4 linked regions of the Arabidopsis thaliana genome follow. Each later gene encodes a partner of the first gene's protein in a complex. Each region holds a gene or a part of one and is shown on either strand. Other genes may lie near its edges. The genes, in order: NdhN, NdhO, NdhS and PnsB1.

The links.
Region 2: NdhN (region 1) and NdhO share a complex: the UniProt entries of both Arabidopsis thaliana proteins name them as parts of the chloroplast NDH complex.
Region 3: NdhN (region 1) and NdhS share a complex: the UniProt entries of both Arabidopsis thaliana proteins name them as parts of the chloroplast NDH complex.
Region 4: NdhN (region 1) and PnsB1 share a complex: the UniProt entries of both Arabidopsis thaliana proteins name them as parts of the chloroplast NDH complex.

Annotation. Positions count from the first base shown.
Region 1 is NC_003076.8:23,560,038-23,563,893, forward strand, and holds NdhN (oxidoreductases, acting on NADH or NADPH, quinone or similar compound as acceptor), read right to left. Parts: upstream 1,965-3,856; 5' UTR 1,893-1,964; coding exon 1,524-1,892; intron 1,442-1,523; coding exon 1,325-1,441; coding exon of another isoform or gene 1,319-1,324; exon of another isoform or gene 1,260-1,318; coding exon 1,174-1,259; intron 1,096-1,173; coding exon 1,038-1,095; 3' UTR 531-1,037; downstream 1-530. Other genes in the region: EMB3143 (YCF54), read left to right, coding at 1-42, 143-335; ABCB25 (ABC transporter of the mitochondrion 3), read left to right, coding at 2,131-2,779, 2,857-2,918, 2,999-3,042, 3,140-3,242, 3,389-3,496, 3,821-3,856. UniProt on the Arabidopsis thaliana protein: NDH shuttles electrons from NAD(P)H:plastoquinone, via FMN and iron-sulfur (Fe-S) centers, to quinones in the photosynthetic chain and possibly in a chloroplast respiratory chain.
Region 2 is NC_003070.9:28,129,269-28,132,866, forward strand, and holds NdhO (NAD(P)H:plastoquinone dehydrogenase complex subunit O), read right to left. Parts: upstream 1,810-3,598; 5' UTR 1,753-1,809; coding exon 1,530-1,752; intron 1,436-1,529; coding exon 1,380-1,435; intron 1,290-1,379; coding exon 1,224-1,289; intron 1,149-1,223; coding exon 1,107-1,148; intron 1,030-1,106; coding exon 970-1,029; intron 874-969; coding exon 844-873; 3' UTR 560-843; downstream 1-559. Other genes in the region: AT1G74875 (F-box protein), read right to left, coding at 393-477; ARR15 (response regulator 15), read right to left, coding at 2,322-2,586, 2,689-2,759, 2,852-2,929, 3,138-3,214, 3,313-3,442. UniProt on the Arabidopsis thaliana protein: NDH shuttles electrons from NAD(P)H:plastoquinone, via FMN and iron-sulfur (Fe-S) centers, to quinones in the photosynthetic chain and possibly in a chloroplast respiratory chain.
Region 3 is NC_003075.7:12,419,901-12,423,226, forward strand, and holds NdhS (NAD(P)H-quinone oxidoreductase subunit S), read right to left. Parts: upstream 1,565-3,326; 5' UTR 1,446-1,564; coding exon 693-1,445; 3' UTR 514-692; downstream 1-513. Other genes in the region: AT4G23885 (uncharacterized protein), read left to right, coding at 1-138, 323-340; AT4G23895 (Pleckstrin homology (PH) domain-containing protein), read left to right, coding at 2,983-3,110, 3,196-3,301. UniProt on the Arabidopsis thaliana protein: NDH shuttles electrons from NAD(P)H:plastoquinone, via FMN and iron-sulfur (Fe-S) centers, to quinones in the photosynthetic chain and possibly in a chloroplast respiratory chain.
Region 4 is NC_003070.9:5,487,379-5,491,886, forward strand, and holds PnsB1 (NDH-dependent cyclic electron flow 1), read left to right. Parts: upstream 1-1,766; 5' UTR 1,767-1,935; coding exon 1,936-2,360; intron 2,361-2,458; coding exon 2,459-2,609; intron 2,610-2,696; coding exon 2,697-2,887; intron 2,888-2,959; coding exon 2,960-3,217; intron 3,218-3,296; coding exon 3,297-3,402; intron 3,403-3,488; coding exon 3,489-3,574; intron 3,575-3,652; coding exon 3,653-3,821; 3' UTR 3,822-3,925; downstream 3,926-4,508. Other genes in the region: AT1G15970 (DNA glycosylase superfamily protein), read right to left, coding at 8-65, 654-1,116; CNGC7 (cyclic nucleotide gated channel 7), read right to left, coding at 3,926-4,508. UniProt on the Arabidopsis thaliana protein: NDH shuttles electrons from NAD(P)H:plastoquinone, via FMN and iron-sulfur (Fe-S) centers, to quinones in the photosynthetic chain and possibly in a chloroplast respiratory chain.

The sequences.
Region 1 (3,856 bases):
TCCTGCTGTTGCTCTTGTTTCCACCAATGGCACCTGGATCACGTTAGAACCCTAATCCCAATCTCTCTCTTTTCAAAATTACGTTCCTCACTCCCTCCTTATCTAACGCATTTGTGTTTTGCAATTTGTTGTTTTATGGCAGGTTTATGAAGTTAAGATTGGATCGTGTTCTGTATGATTCCTTTGAAGCTACCTCTCTTGATGAAGCTTTGGCCTCCAATCCTACCACTCTTGAGTTCGATAAGCCTAAAAATTGGGTGGCGCCATACCCCAAGTATGAACCTGGATGGTGGGATACCTTCTTGCCTAAAGTAACCCAAGAATCTGCAGTATAGAACTTTGCTTTTTGTCTTGTTTTTGCATTCTCCAATCTCAGCTTTGTCTTAGTGCTTCAAAGTTTTGTACTACTGAGCTCATTATCCAAGTCTATATCTTTCCTAGTGTAGCTTCTATTACTCAAAGTTGCCTGTTTGATACGTCACTGACTCAAGGTTAAGCATAGAACTAGACAACAAAAAGCATCCTCACATTTAGCTCCATCAAAGTCTTAAGGGTGACCATATTTGTTGATTTCTCACGAGAATATTGGCAAGAACCTTCAGTTAAAGCTCTAGGTATTAAGTTGTCTAGTCACAGGAGGGCAATATGCCTACTCGCTGAAGAACTTTGCAAAAGATCTGAATTTTTTGGTTTTCAAAACGATTTGTGGACTCGGAACATGTTGTTACTCGTTAGGTCTAGTGACTGGAGTTGATCAAAGTAAGTTGCACATGTTTCTGCTGAATCAAGTGTTCTATGTTGTACTTCTGGATTGCTCTGTAGTCTGTATCTAAGCGTGTCCTATCAATCTTACTGATTATACATACTTTTATTTGTGACAAAGCAGAGTCAGAAATTATCTTTAACTACTCCATGGGAATATACTACCAAGTTACAAATACAGATTTTAACTTTTACTATGGGATGAGTATTGCTACACTTGCGGGAGATGCATTCATGAAAAACTATACACTGGTAGCTCCACTTGTGCCATTAAGTTACTCTTGTGCAGCTAGATTTGCAATTTCTGCTAGAGGCTTCCACACGAACTTTCTCCTGCAGGGGAATTGGTAATGGTCATGCAAATTGCAAACATAGATGATTAGTGTGTATGGTAAGGAATGATATACTCACCAGTTGCCACATTCAGCAATAACCCTGACGTTAGGACGAAGAGAGGGAAGTAAAGCGAGAAATTGAAGCTCCGATTTTGAGAGGACCTGAGTGAAATGGAAATATGAGAAAGAGCATGTGGGAGAACAGATCAAATGAGAGAAACTCAAACCTTTGCTTCGAGGACCCATACAACAAGACCCTTGGCACTAGGGGGAAGAGCAGCGAGCCTGTAATCAACTTCTGGTGGATAATACCATCTTGCTATAGGTTGTTTCCCAAGATGAGCCTAAAAGAAGAGAAGATACATGGTTCACACAAAATTATATTGAAACAAGATTAAAGTAGAAGATGGATGAAAGTAGACATACAGGGCAAACAGGGTAGTTCTTGAGAAGGGTAGTCTCAGGGTCACCAAGGCCACGAGCAGAGATGTCAAGAAAGTAGTAGCCCTGCATTTTGAGACGGTTAAGATAACGACCTTCGTAACCACCCTCATGAGGAGCGTAAATGGCGATTGCCTTGTGTTCTTCCACGTCTTGAAGCCATTGTCCGATGTCCGGCTTCACCAAGTCACCTCCGATGTAGTCAGCTATGCTGCTACATTTCACACCAGTGCTTCTTCTTCTCTTACTCCTAGTATTCACCAAAAAGGAACCAACTGTTTTGATCTTCTTCACTTGCGAGGCTTCAAAACACGGTGGTGCCACACGTTGTATACATATTGCACGGCTTCCCATTTCTTTACTAACAATGACTTCTTGTGGAAGTAGCTCATAATAAACATTGCTTGACGACGATGATGATGAAAGAATGGTGGAGAAACGACGACTCACTCCACAAAGGGATAGACATTAATGGGCTTAAAATGTATTGGGCTTTATTTATTAGGCCCATTAAGCACCGCCGAACGTCGTGACATTGTTAGCTAGCTCGCCGGAGCAAAATTCAGTCTGTGAAACTTTCGGAGAAGAAGGGATGTCGAGAGGATCTCGATTCGTTAGGGCTCCTGGGCTCTTACTCTGTCGCGTTAATCTTCAACCTCAACCCAAAATCCCATCTTTTTCCTACAGTCTTCGCTCTGATTATCGTCTTCATAATGGTTTCTCCAATTACATCAGACGTAACTCAATTCGAACATCTCCGGTTATCAATGCCTTCCTCTCAGATAACTCACCATCCCCGTCACCATCACCATCCCCAATTCGTTTTGTTCAACGGAGTTCAATGCTTAATGGTCGTCTCTTCTCGACTTCTACTCCCAATCCAGACCAAACCACCACCAAGACTAAGGAAATCAAGACAACCTCGTCGGATTCAGACTCAGCTATGGCTGACATGAAGATTCTCCGTACGCTTGCTGGCTATTTGTGGATGAGAGACAATCCAGAATTCCGTTTCAGGGTCATCGCTGCTTTGGGTTTTCTCGTGGGTGCTAAGGTCTTGAATGTCCAAGTCCCTTTCCTCTTCAAATTAGCTGTTGATTGGCTTGCTTCAGCTACCGGTACTGGAGCCTCACTTACCACCTTCGCTGCTACAAACCCAACTCTTCTTACTGTTTTTGCTACTCCTGCTGCTGTTCTCATTGGATACGGGATTGCTCGGACGGGTTCTTCTGCTTTTAATGGTAACTCTCAATAGCTCTAGTTTTCTTTAAAAAAGAATGCACTTTTCACTCTTGGTTGTTACTTTTCATCATCGCAGAACTTCGTACTGCTGTGTTCTCTAAGGTAGCTCTCCGAACAATACGATCTGTTTCTAGAAAGGTATGCTGCTGCTGCTCTAAACTATCTTGTCGATAGAGATATTTTAATGTATGAATCAATTTCATATGGTCGCTTTGCAGGTGTTCTCACATTTACATGATCTTGACCTTCGTTACCACCTAAGGTATCTATCTCTCCTCTCTTACTCTTGTGAGTAGTCTCGCTCATTCCATCTTAGATTCATCTCATCATAACTTCCTTACTTAATTGCTTATGTCCAGTCGAGAAACAGGCGGCTTGAACAGGATTATTGATCGTGGTAGCCGTGCAATAAATTTTATCCTCTCAGCTATGGTTTTCAATGTTGTTCCTACCATATTGGAGGTAAAGCTTGTCTGACCACTTGGTGCTTTCTCATGATCATTGTTTTTTTTCTCATTTTGAATAATTGGCAGTTGCTCATTCATATTTGGATTTCACTATTCATTCGTCTCTAAAAACACTCGACGTAATTAATATGTATCTTTCAGATATCTATGGTATCAGGTATACTGGCATACAAGTTTGGAGCTGCTTTTGCCTGGATTACTTCTCTCTCCGTTGGATCATATATCGTTTTCACATTAGCTGTGACACAGGTACTGTGCCTTTTTCGGTATTCTCTTTTCAATGCCAACTATAATGCAATACTTGCGTTATTATCATGATAATCCAGCAATAACTGTGATATTTTATTTAAGAAACTACTATAGTATACATTGTTCTGGAATTCGTTACTAAGCTTCTCTAATCTTAACTGTATCAACTCTTTGGATCGGCTTAAATCATTCTAGTTGTGATATTAGGTTTGATGATGTATAGAAGGATAGTTGTCTTCATACATTCTCTTCAACTTTCATTATCTTGTTACAAATCTTTTTGGTGTCAAACGCTTTGCTCACGGTTTTATTTATTTTATCCAGTGGCGAACCAAGTTTAGAAAGGCTATGAACAAAGCT
Region 2 (3,598 bases), on another chromosome or scaffold:
TCGGGTTTTTATAACAATGTTTAGATTTCCTATTCCTAATAGGAAAAGGAAGTAATACAAAAGTTTAGAATAAGCCAAAAGATTAAAAATAAATAAAATCTAAAAAAGCTTTAAAAAAAAAAAGGAAAAATACATAATAATGGGATTAAATCCTTGTATGGAGAACAAATCCAAACCCTAGATTCTCTCATTCACCGTTCACCAATGGGAAAACCCAAAAGGAGAAATCATAGGAAACCCACTAACATCACCATCACGTCAATAGTATTTTTGTGATGATGAAGAATTTATCAGAAAATGGAAGTCAAAGACAAAGCAGAGGAAAGGATTGTTTAATGAAGTTGTGAGAGATGAGATTGGCTTTGTGTCTTGTTACTCTCCTAGTCACATACATAATACATTGATTACGAGGTGAATTTGAAACATGTTGGCACACTTCCGCTTGTCTTCGTCGTTTAGAGCACCTAAATTTACCATCATCCGTCCATTAGGTCAGTAGTTATATTTGTGATGATGAAGAAGTTTCCGGTTTTCGGAAAGTGGAAGCCAAAGACAAAACCAGAGGAAATTTTATGAAGCTGTGAGAAATGAGTTTATGTTGGGAGATCGATGAGATAAAATTACCATCATCCGTTTACTGAAGCTGCATTCTTATTATAGGAGTCTGATGACATATTCCACACTCCACAACAGTTTTTGTAACTAATTGTAACGTTGATACTTTGTCAAACTCTTGAACACATGATCATGATGGTGCGCCATTGTTATCGTTCATCTCAGCTTAACACAATCCTTGGTATATCAGTTGCATTCCAAAGGATTCTTCTTGGAACCTTCTTGACTCTACATTCGCTCGTAAACAAGTTTCTCACACTGCGGTGGAACAAAAACCAAGAACACAGAAACAATCATGACTTGACATCAAGACAATGCTACGTATTGTTGATGTACTGAGAAAATTATGAGTACCTTGATGAGCATATCTGTTGGGAGCCAAGCTGGTGCGGTGGGGATACCAACCCATCCAACCTAAAGTCTCCAAAATTCACAATCCATTAGCTCATCTTATGAAACAGAATAAACAATTTGTGTGGAGACTGACTTACAAGTGCATACTCTCCTGTCTCAAAGACACGAAGGTCCAAGACCTGCAAGATTTAGATTACTTGTTCAATAAGCTTGAAATCTCTTGTGATTTATTTTCAAAAGGGATTGTGTTATACCTCGCCGCGATCTTCGTATATGTAATCAAGTCCTTTGTAGAAAGGAGGATGTCCAACTGATAAGTACTGTAATTTCAACAAATGTAGCAAAACAAAAGTTTCAGAAACAGATTTTTGAAGAAGCAGCTTCAAAACTGGGAAAGATTTCGACTATACATTGATGCTGTTGAGGTACTTCTCTTTTTCCACACGAACGATTTGGCCCTTCTTCACTGTTTTCTCATCCACCAGAAACAGAAATTCAAAAGAATTATCAAAAATCTGTTATTGGATTCAACACTTAGAAACAAAAGTGAGGGAACAGACTCGAGTAAACCGGTTTCTTGGGGAGGGTTTTAGGGGTTTTGGTTGCAGCTGGTGATGCTTCCCCATCAGACTTGCCCTGTGTGCTCTGTTTCTCTTTCTCTGCTTCTGCTTTGACTGTGAATTGAGGAAGAGATCGATGAGGGAGTCTTCTAGAAGAAATTGGTAATGAAGAGGAGATGGTTGAAAGAGAAGAAAGCTGAGACACAGTCGCAGAGAAAGCCATTGGAGAGACCACCAAGAAAAAAAATTATGTGTTCTTGGAGTTTCGGGATAAGACCGCAATGGTATCCAAGTCTCTCAACGGTCTAAAACAGACATCACTGAACCAATCATAAGATGCCACGTAAGTGCAAACAAGTTTCCTCTGCTATACAACTAGGAATATAGTAATAGATAATGTATTCCAACAAAGATTATATTCGTTTTTTTTTGTTTTCTGATGCTTGAAAGTTTATGAATTATAAACACATACAAGTGAAATCGTGTATGTCACATGGAAGATCATATACAAAATCTTTTTACGTGTACTTTTAAATTATATGTTACATTATAGAATCTAATTGATCTGGTTGTGAAGTAGGAAACAATATATATACTGTAGGCAAAGTATTTAATTTTATAAAATTGTTTAAATCATATTCACATTGATCTCCTTTTGTTTTAACAAAAAAAAAAAACAGAGTAATAAGGTGAGCATTAGAATCTAGACTTACATAGTTGCATATATCAAAAATAATGTATATTACACAAGGAAATCAAGAGAAAACGTGAGAAAAGATTGAGCTCAATCATTTAACCCCTAGACTCTAATTTGATCCTCTTGGAAGATGGAGTGTCGTCATCAAGGGAGGAAACATCATGAGACGACGATGATGAAGATGTTGATGATGATGATGGAGATGAATCAATGTCGTTTTGTAGGATTCTCTTAGGACTAAGTTTTTTGGTTTTTCCTTCTTCAGCTTCACCACCTCTCATTATAAGTTCTTTTAAACGCTTCACATCAGCTAATTTCACCGGTTTTAGCAAAAACTCCTCTGCTCCTTCTATCATACATCTACAACAACAACAACAACAAAAGAGAGGATAGACAAAAAAATCAGATTACAGTGTTAAGATCCATTGATTCAGTTTTGTATCTTTAGCTATAGTGACTTACTGTTCTATACGAGGTTGTATGTTCTCAGAAGACATTATCACTACTGGGATTTCTCTGAGTGCTGAAGACTCCTGGCAAATATACAACAGAATTTTTGTAAGGAAAACACGAGAAGAGCTTATTCAAATCTTGCTCTAATAAATGACACAAAATAGAAATTTACTTTGATCTTCTTGAGGAGTTCATATCCTGTTAGTCCCGGCATTGAATAATCCGTCACTATCAAGTTCACTTTCAAATCCTGTTATCAAAATTTGCAAAATTGTTCATATAAACGGCATCAATAAACAAATAATAAAATCATCCTCTAAAGGTTAAACTTTTGATCCACATTGTGAAACCTTAGATTTCTTGGGAGCCAAACCAGCATAAGAACACTTCAAGTTTCAACGTCTAGGGTTGATTTTGCTAGAAAACAGAGAGATTCTAAGAAATGAATGAATATATACCTTAAGACCAGAAGATCCATTGTCTCCATCTAAACCAAGATACTGCAGAGCCCTAGTCCCACTCTCAACAGTCGTCACTATATAAAGAAACCCACCAAATTTATCCAAAAAAACGAATCAGAAACCAAACAAAAGAAAAGCAGAAAACGTAAAGAGAAACAGTTTTGCCTTTTACCTTTACAAGCAGAGATCTTAAGCAATCTCTCAATAACTTTACGATCCACGAAACTATCATCAACGGCAAGAACATGTAACTCCGGTGAAGAAGAAGAAGATAAAGAAGAAGATAAATCTCTGAGAGCCATTGTTTTCTCTCGGGAAAGTAAACAACAAAACAGATGAAGAAACGTTTAAAGTTTGAACGTCAAAGGACGCAGAAATCAATGTGAAGAAGGAAGACGAGGAGTTACATAAATAAGAGAGAGAGAGAGAGAGAGGCAGAAGCGGTGAGTGAGATACAT
Region 3 (3,326 bases), on another chromosome or scaffold:
GGAAAGAGTCAGGTGGCAAATGAAGCTGATACATTGTTCTTCTCCAATTTGAACAACATCCAAAAGACTACTGGCGGGAAGGCATCATCGCAGCCAAAGCGCACGCCAGTTTCAAACGAAGAAATGGAAGCCATTTTGGTATGTAACTTCATTTTGACATGTATAACAACACTTAGATGAACATGTATCTAACAGTATAATGTGTGACCAACTACTAAGTTATAATTATGTGACCAATTACAAGTTGAGAGAACCCTTTTCATGATTTAATAATATTGTTCTGTTTCTAACTTCCTTATCCTTTTCTGAATTTTTTTTACAGTTGGGAGGCTGCATCTGATCATTTCAACATGATCTGTTGACAAGAATGGTGGATCACTTCTCATCTTTACCATTTACAGAATATACTCGATAGTCAAGAAGAAACTGATATGGTTGATGTTTACAACAACCAATGATAACAATAAAACTACTCCATTGCAGTTTTTAACTTCTATACTGATTCATCATTGATTGAGTGCATTTGAATCTCTATTATTAAGTGCTTTATGATTGAAATTCATCGTTTATTCTTTTTTTTATATCACATGATGAAGCTCTTTTAGAACCAGTCAGAAATATTGTAGCCTAAAACGCAAAGGTACGTTACATATACATTCACAGGAACTTACATACAGAGAAGAGAAGATCACTTATGGTGCTGCCTCTTCCTTTTGCATCTGTTCGATAAGAGGCTCGAGAATACAAGACTTTGGATTCTTACCCGGTGGACCTTTTTCTCTTCGTTCAAGCTCTTCAAGCCTGAAAGTAATGAGACGGTCCCAGTTTCCTCCTTCGAACAAGACACCAGCTTTTCCATCAGTGATCCTCTGCACAATTCCACAATACATGTGATACGGACTGTTCTGGTTCTTGACTATAGCAATCATCCCCGGCATGAGAAGGGGTAGCTTGGGCGCTTTCGGCTTCTTATCTGTAGCAACCGCGGATGCATCGCTTCCTTGTTTTGCAGGTGGTGGTGGTGGAGGAGGTGGTGGATTTTTTTCGATAAACGTTTTTAAACCCTTTTCGCCACCGGGAAATCCTCCTGTGAGACCCATCATCTCTTTCTCGAAACCATCTTCAGGTACTTTAAAAGACAAGTTACTGTCATCGCTCTCTCTCTCTGTCTCGTTGTTCTCAGCCTTTGATGTCTCTTGCTCGTCTTCAATGTTCCTCTGGAGCTCCTTCTCAATACCTTTCTCTCCGTTGCATAATCCTCTTCCTCCCATCACTTCCCATAGATTGAATTTACCCATGGCCTTTACTTGATACAGTTTTGACTGCTGTTTTGGAGGCGGGAAAACCGACCGGTTTACAGTTGAAAATTGATGTGTTTGGCCTAGAAATTTTGATCGATGAATCGGAGTTCTAATGGTCGGGATAGTGATCGAAGAAGTCGCCATAACTATTTTTGCCTGCAGAGTAGAGTAGAGGTGACTAAGGGAGATATGAAGAAGATGGAAGAGGAAGGAAGAAGCGTGTGATTGATTCGCTTGTTATAATGACCACATATCATGATTTCAGTTAGATGAGTTCTATCTATTTCCAAATTACCAGTGGACCTGAACCGGTTAATGCGTAACCGGTGTTTGGAATAATGATTTAGGAGAAAGAGTAGGAACATTTGGGCTTTGTCATAAGTTTAACCTGGACCAAGTTTGAATATTCTTAAGAGATATGGGCCTAGATTAAAAACAATGGTAATGTAATTAAACATATTGCTAAATGCTAATAATGTGGATTTGTTTGTTTATTAAGAAAAAAGCAGCAAGAAGAAGATAAATCATTTGGGTCAACGACATTAATAATTGGAATCCCATACTCCCAAATCATAATTAGACATACACTTTTGTCTTAGGCTGTCCTTTACACTCATCGGCATCACCAAATACTTAGTTGGCAACTTTGATCAATTAATGTATTAAGCATGAATGAAAACAACTTTTACATTGATTCGATAAATTCATTATATTGTAGATAAGATTAGTCAAAAGTTTACAAACATTCGTTAACAAATTACAAAACTTGTAATATCTGCAGCAATGCCCATGTGGGTAGAGCTGGCTGACGCAACCTAACCGGGGGATAAAAGCGTCTTTTTGGTACCAAATTTAAAGTTTCTTTATGAGTAAAATTCCCAAACCCAACATCTTCTTCCTGCTGAAGCAGTAAGCACTCAACCAAAAAACCAATTGCGTAAACACTTTCCCTTGAATACAGAGATCACATTCGATCAGGTAAAAACAAGGTCTCGATCTTCTCTTCAGTCAATTTTTTCAAATTATTCGAGGTTCCCGTCATTCGATTCCGACTTCCGAGCTTCTATTTCTGCTCAATGTTTTTGTATTTTGTTAGGGTTTCCAGAAAATTCGATTCTGTTGTTTTTAATTTGAGCTAATAAAATCTAGAATGGGAAAAAGAAAGAGTTCATTTTCGTCCTCTTTCTTTTTGTAGAAGCTGAACTTTGTTTTTCTTTTACAGCGAGCTGATTTCTCACAAGGGATATCAAAATTTCTGGTGAAGTGGGATTGTAAAATTCGGCGTTGAAAGATATATAAAGAGGTATGTTTGATCCTCAGTGAGGAATAAGGATTTTTAGTAGTTATATATCTCTCCAAGTGATGATACATACATACTTGTGGATTAGATCTATGATAAGAATAAGCATAAGATAGAGACTGAGAGACAAGTCATTTAGGGAGATTAAATAATGTTCATGGAATGCTAAAGTTCATATAGGAGTTTGTCTCATATCAGAATCTAGATTAGATCATGCTCAGATGACATCTCTTGAATGGACAAAAAAGTTTTTAACTATGTGATTTTTTCGACTTCTTTTGGGGAATCAATGTACTACAAGCTGAGAGTTTTAGAGTAGTTTCATCTCTGGCTAAGCTTTGATTCATTTTCTAGTGGAAGGTTCTGGAGTCGTTTCAATTCATGGATGATGGTACTCCTAAGAAGCTAAACATATTACCTGATCACTTTAGTGCTCCTAGTCCCACAGCAGAATCTTCTCAGCACGATACTCCATCATCTTCGCAGCCAAAGGACGATAGTTCTCTGAGGTAAATTGTTAGCGAATAAATATGCTAAGAAGGGAAATTCTGAGCTGAAATGAATTGTTTTTTCGGGTGGTTTTGTTTAGAGTAGGCCTTATAGCCAGTCACGGACTCGCAGAAACCTGAAAAGAGCAGCAACTATGTTGAATTTGTTCACTCTTCGCCGTCTGCCTTGGGTTTCAGATGGTCAAGAGAAGGTTCCATTCTCTCACACCTTTCTTC
Region 4 (4,508 bases), on another chromosome or scaffold:
CACATACTTGTCGTCATGTACAGGAACTCCCCATTCTTCGTCATGGAAAGCAACATAGCACGGGTCTTTACAACGTAGAAAAACGCAACATTATTAGTCAATTTACAGCAGAGAAAGATATGAAGCATGAGAGAACAACAAAGAATAATGGAAAGTGCCTCTTGGCATGGAAACATTTATGCTCATTAGTATAGAGAATCCAGAAAACGCTGTTTGGCTTACACTAAAAGCATAAACGAAGTGGATCTATCAGCTAATCAAAACATCCTTCATCTAAATTTCATGGACACTGAGAAGTTAAAATATTTATAAGAGAACTTCAGGACAAGCTACTTCATAAGTTATGCAACATAGCAAATGATCTACACAATGCTCACTGAATAAAATACATAGCAATTGAAACATTTTGTTGGCCATTGAATTACTTAATATTCACATACAGAAGAACATAATTAGATCAAACAAAAAACACTAGCTCCTTGTCTCAATTCAGTCCCATTTGATTCAACTAGATAAGAACTTTATCATCTCACACAATCAGGCTAAACTCAATCTCACATTCACATTTTCACTCATTTCATTTATTTGAATGCATCTAAAGTCAAAAGCTCTCTCACTATGCAATGTGTGATAGGTGAAAGTTTGATGCTTACCAGCTTTAGGTGTGATCCAAGCACACCTTTTACGACCATCAGCGAAGCAATCACCAGAAACCTTCTCTTCTTCTTTCCCAACACTCAGCTTCCTTGTAGAAGAGACAGACCCACTTCGCCTCACAACCTTCTTACAGCTCGAAGAAGACGCCACGCTCAAAGGCGATGACTCACACGAAGACGAAGCATCAGAGGAATACGAAGCAGTCATTGAAGCACTATTCTTTCTCAAAATCGAAGAGCAAAGAGACGAGCATTGCTTCAGAGTCGTCCTTGGTGAAGCCGGAGTAGTTGGTTTCTTCGCTTTCTCATCTTTTGAGTCGATGATGGTCTTCTCCATCATCGGCTTCTCCAGTTTCATCCCCGGTGGTTTCCTCTGCAGCTTGTTCCCGGTAGGACCAAGAACTGATCGGAACTCTCGCTCATCGGAATTTACGGACCGGAATCTAGGAGGAACCGACATTGACCCGATTCTCACAAAAAACTGCTTTTTGATTTCACAGATCTATCACTGGATCACACAACAACAACAAAATTGCTATTTCCAACAGTCTCGAAACTTATTTCAAGAGATTATATATCGGAAGGCCTAGACTTTACAGCTACATTAGCACCAAAAATGAAACTTTTTTGTCACCGCTAAATATCTCATTTTTAGGAATCTTCTAGTAAAACTAAACCAAGTTGCTTGCTGTGTTCACGAGAAAAGCAAGGTTAGAAACAATGAGCAACAAAATAAAATCTTTGAACAATGAAGAAAAAAAAAGCTTTTGACTTCAGAAAAACCCAGAAAAAAAAAAGAAAGAAAGAAGCTTTTTCTGATCGACGACGAAACGAATCAAATCGAGAGAGAGAGACGAGGAGAAAAGGTCATTCACCAGTCACGACTTAACACGTCATCGTTTGGTTCTTCTGCTTTTTCTGTTCTTTTGTTCCTCGACCCGACAATGAAACGGGTCCTTATTGCTCGACCCGACAAGTTAAATGGTTTAATTGCTTACTGTAATCAGTTGGTTAATGCTTCTGAGTTCTGAGATTAGGAATGTTTCTTTGCTCGTGCGTATCAACCAATGTAAAGACAAAAGTTTTAATTAATCGAACAGAGAATAATTTCTGGAATTGCCATAACCAAAATAAATAAATTAAATGCTAAGTTTTCTTCTATGGTCGGAAAATTGCCACAAAAGGGACCCACTTATCCTAAGTTCCTACAGAGATCTGTTTTCTTTCACAACATTTAAAAATCCAAACTTTTCTTTCTTTGGCTCAAAAAAACCTTCCAATGGCTTCTTCACTTCCTCTGTTACCCAAACCCATTTCCCCATTCTTTAAAACGCCGCCGTTTTCTACCTCCAAACCACTCGTCTTCCTCAACTTTCAAACTCGTCTTACGTCGAGATCTTCCGATGTATCGGTCAATCTCAAGAAGAAGAATAATCCGTGGCTCGACCCGTTTGATAGCGGTGAAGACCCGGATAACGAATACGGGTCCTTGTTTGCCGACGGAAAACAAGACGAGGATCCAAGACCACCGGATAATCCTGATAACCCTTACGGCTTCTTGAAGTTTCCAAAGGGTTACACCGTCGAGCTTGCTTCTTTACCGTTGAAAATCAGAGGAGATGTTAGACGATGTTGCTGCGTTATCTCCGGTGGCGTTTACGAGAATCTACTCTTTTTCCCGACTATTCAGCTAATCAAAGACAGGTAATAAAAGTATAAGACTCTGTCTCCGATTCGACATTTTTTTAAAACCTTAAACTGAAATGCAGAACATTGTCCGTACGTTTCTGTTGTTTTGTAAGGTATCCTGGTGTTCAGGTAGATATATTAACGACTGAAAGAGGAAAACAAACATACGAGCTAAACAAAAACGTGAGATGGGCCAATGTGTATGATCCGGATGATCATTGGCCTGAACCAGCTGAATACACAGACATGATCGGACTCCTCAAAGTTTGTAACTTTCAAATATTTCAACGTTTTTTCTATCTTTCCTTTATCAGACTGCTTAGTTAACTTTTCTTTTAAGTCATGTTTCAGGGAAGGTACTATGACATGGTTCTGTCCACGAAGCTAGCAGGGTTAGGCCACGCAGCGTTCTTGTTCATGACAACGGCTCGAGACAGGGTTAGTTACATTTACCCGAATGTTAACTCTGCAGGAGCTGGTCTGATGCTGTCCGAGACCTTTACAGCAGAAAATACCAACCTTTCAGAATTAGGTTATAGCATGTGAGTTCCTTGAAACCGAAGAAACTGCAGGTTTTTTTATCGCCTGTCTAAATTGACTGTTGATGGTTTCAGGTATACTCAGATGGAAGATTGGTTAGGAAGACCGTTTAGGAGTGTTCCAAGGACTCCTCTGTTGCCACTTAGGGTATCGATTTCACGGAAAGTGAAAGAGGTTGTGGCTGCAAAGTATAGGAATGCTGGAGCAGTGACGGGGAAGTTTATAGTGATTCATGGTATTGAATCAGATTCTAAGGCATCAATGCAATCAAAAGGAGATGCTGATAGTTTACTTTCACTTGAAAAATGGGCTAAGATTATAAAGGGTGTAAGGTAATTATTACACACCTTCAAAATGTGAATTTTTTGCTTAGTTTGAAATTCTCTGAGATATGATTGTGAACAATGCCAGGGGATTCAAGCCGGTCTTTGTGATTCCACATGAGAAAGAAAGAGAAAACGTTGAAGATTTTGTGGGTGATGATACATCTATAGTGTTCATCACAACACCAGGACAGGTATGCATGCTTATCTGTCTGTATTTGTTATGAACAAAGTTGAATTCACTGATCTTACTTTGATTCCTTTTCTTGAGCTTACTTAGTTGGCTGCTCTGATAAACGATTCTGCTGGAGTCATCGCAACAAACACAGCTGCGATTCAACTAGCTAATGCGCGAGACAAACCATGGTGAATACCTGAGTAATATAAAGAGTACTGATTCAATGTTTTCAAGAACTAACATGTGTGTGCTTCTTTTTCTTCCAGTATTGGGTTGTTCTCTTCAGAAGAGAAAGGGAAGCTCTTTGTACCGTATGCAGAAGAGAAGAGTAACTGTGTAATTATTGCTTCGAAGACTGGAAAACTAGCAGATATCGACATTGGAACTGTTAAAAATGCAATGCAGGTCTTTGAAGGATCATTGGCTCTCGTGTAGATAACTTTACAGTTTCTGAAACAAGTTCTATATATAGAGCATTTATGTGTATAAATCAGTTATGTAGTCTCTGTTCTGATGTTGGCCTCTCATCAAGAATTGGATTATTCAGCATCAAAATCAGGTTCCGGAGGCTTTTGCAGATTTATCAAGGTCTTTGAACTCTCTGAGCTCCTAAGTCTGTGCCCTTTCAATGCATTAGCAGCAAATCTTGATGCAAATATCGTTGAACGCAGTCTAGAAGAAGACTCACTTCTTGTGATAACCATAGGCCTCTTGTCACTCTCATCATCATATTCATCTTCATAACCCAATTCTTCTTCTTTTTCTTCAATCCGTCTCAATTCAGCGTTTTTCCTTCTTGAATAGCGACGCCAAGCAGCTTGGATGAAGCAAGAAGCCCAAGTTCTCCATTGCTGAGAGTAAAACCTAAATGTTTGTTGAACCTGTCGACTATGAAGTCTCCTAAACTGACTTGCTACAAACTTCAGCTCTTCAGCTTCAAGAGCGAAAGCCTCTACTTCAGTCAGAGCCTTCACTGTTCTTGTGGAAGAAGGTAAGTTTGAGCCTGCTTTAGGGTCAAGAGCCCATGTCAGAAGCTCTTCACCACAAAAGTCTCCTTCTTTTAACAACCCTCTGTTGAAGAAACCGCTTCTTCCCCCATCTGTTGTTACACTTTCTAACCGG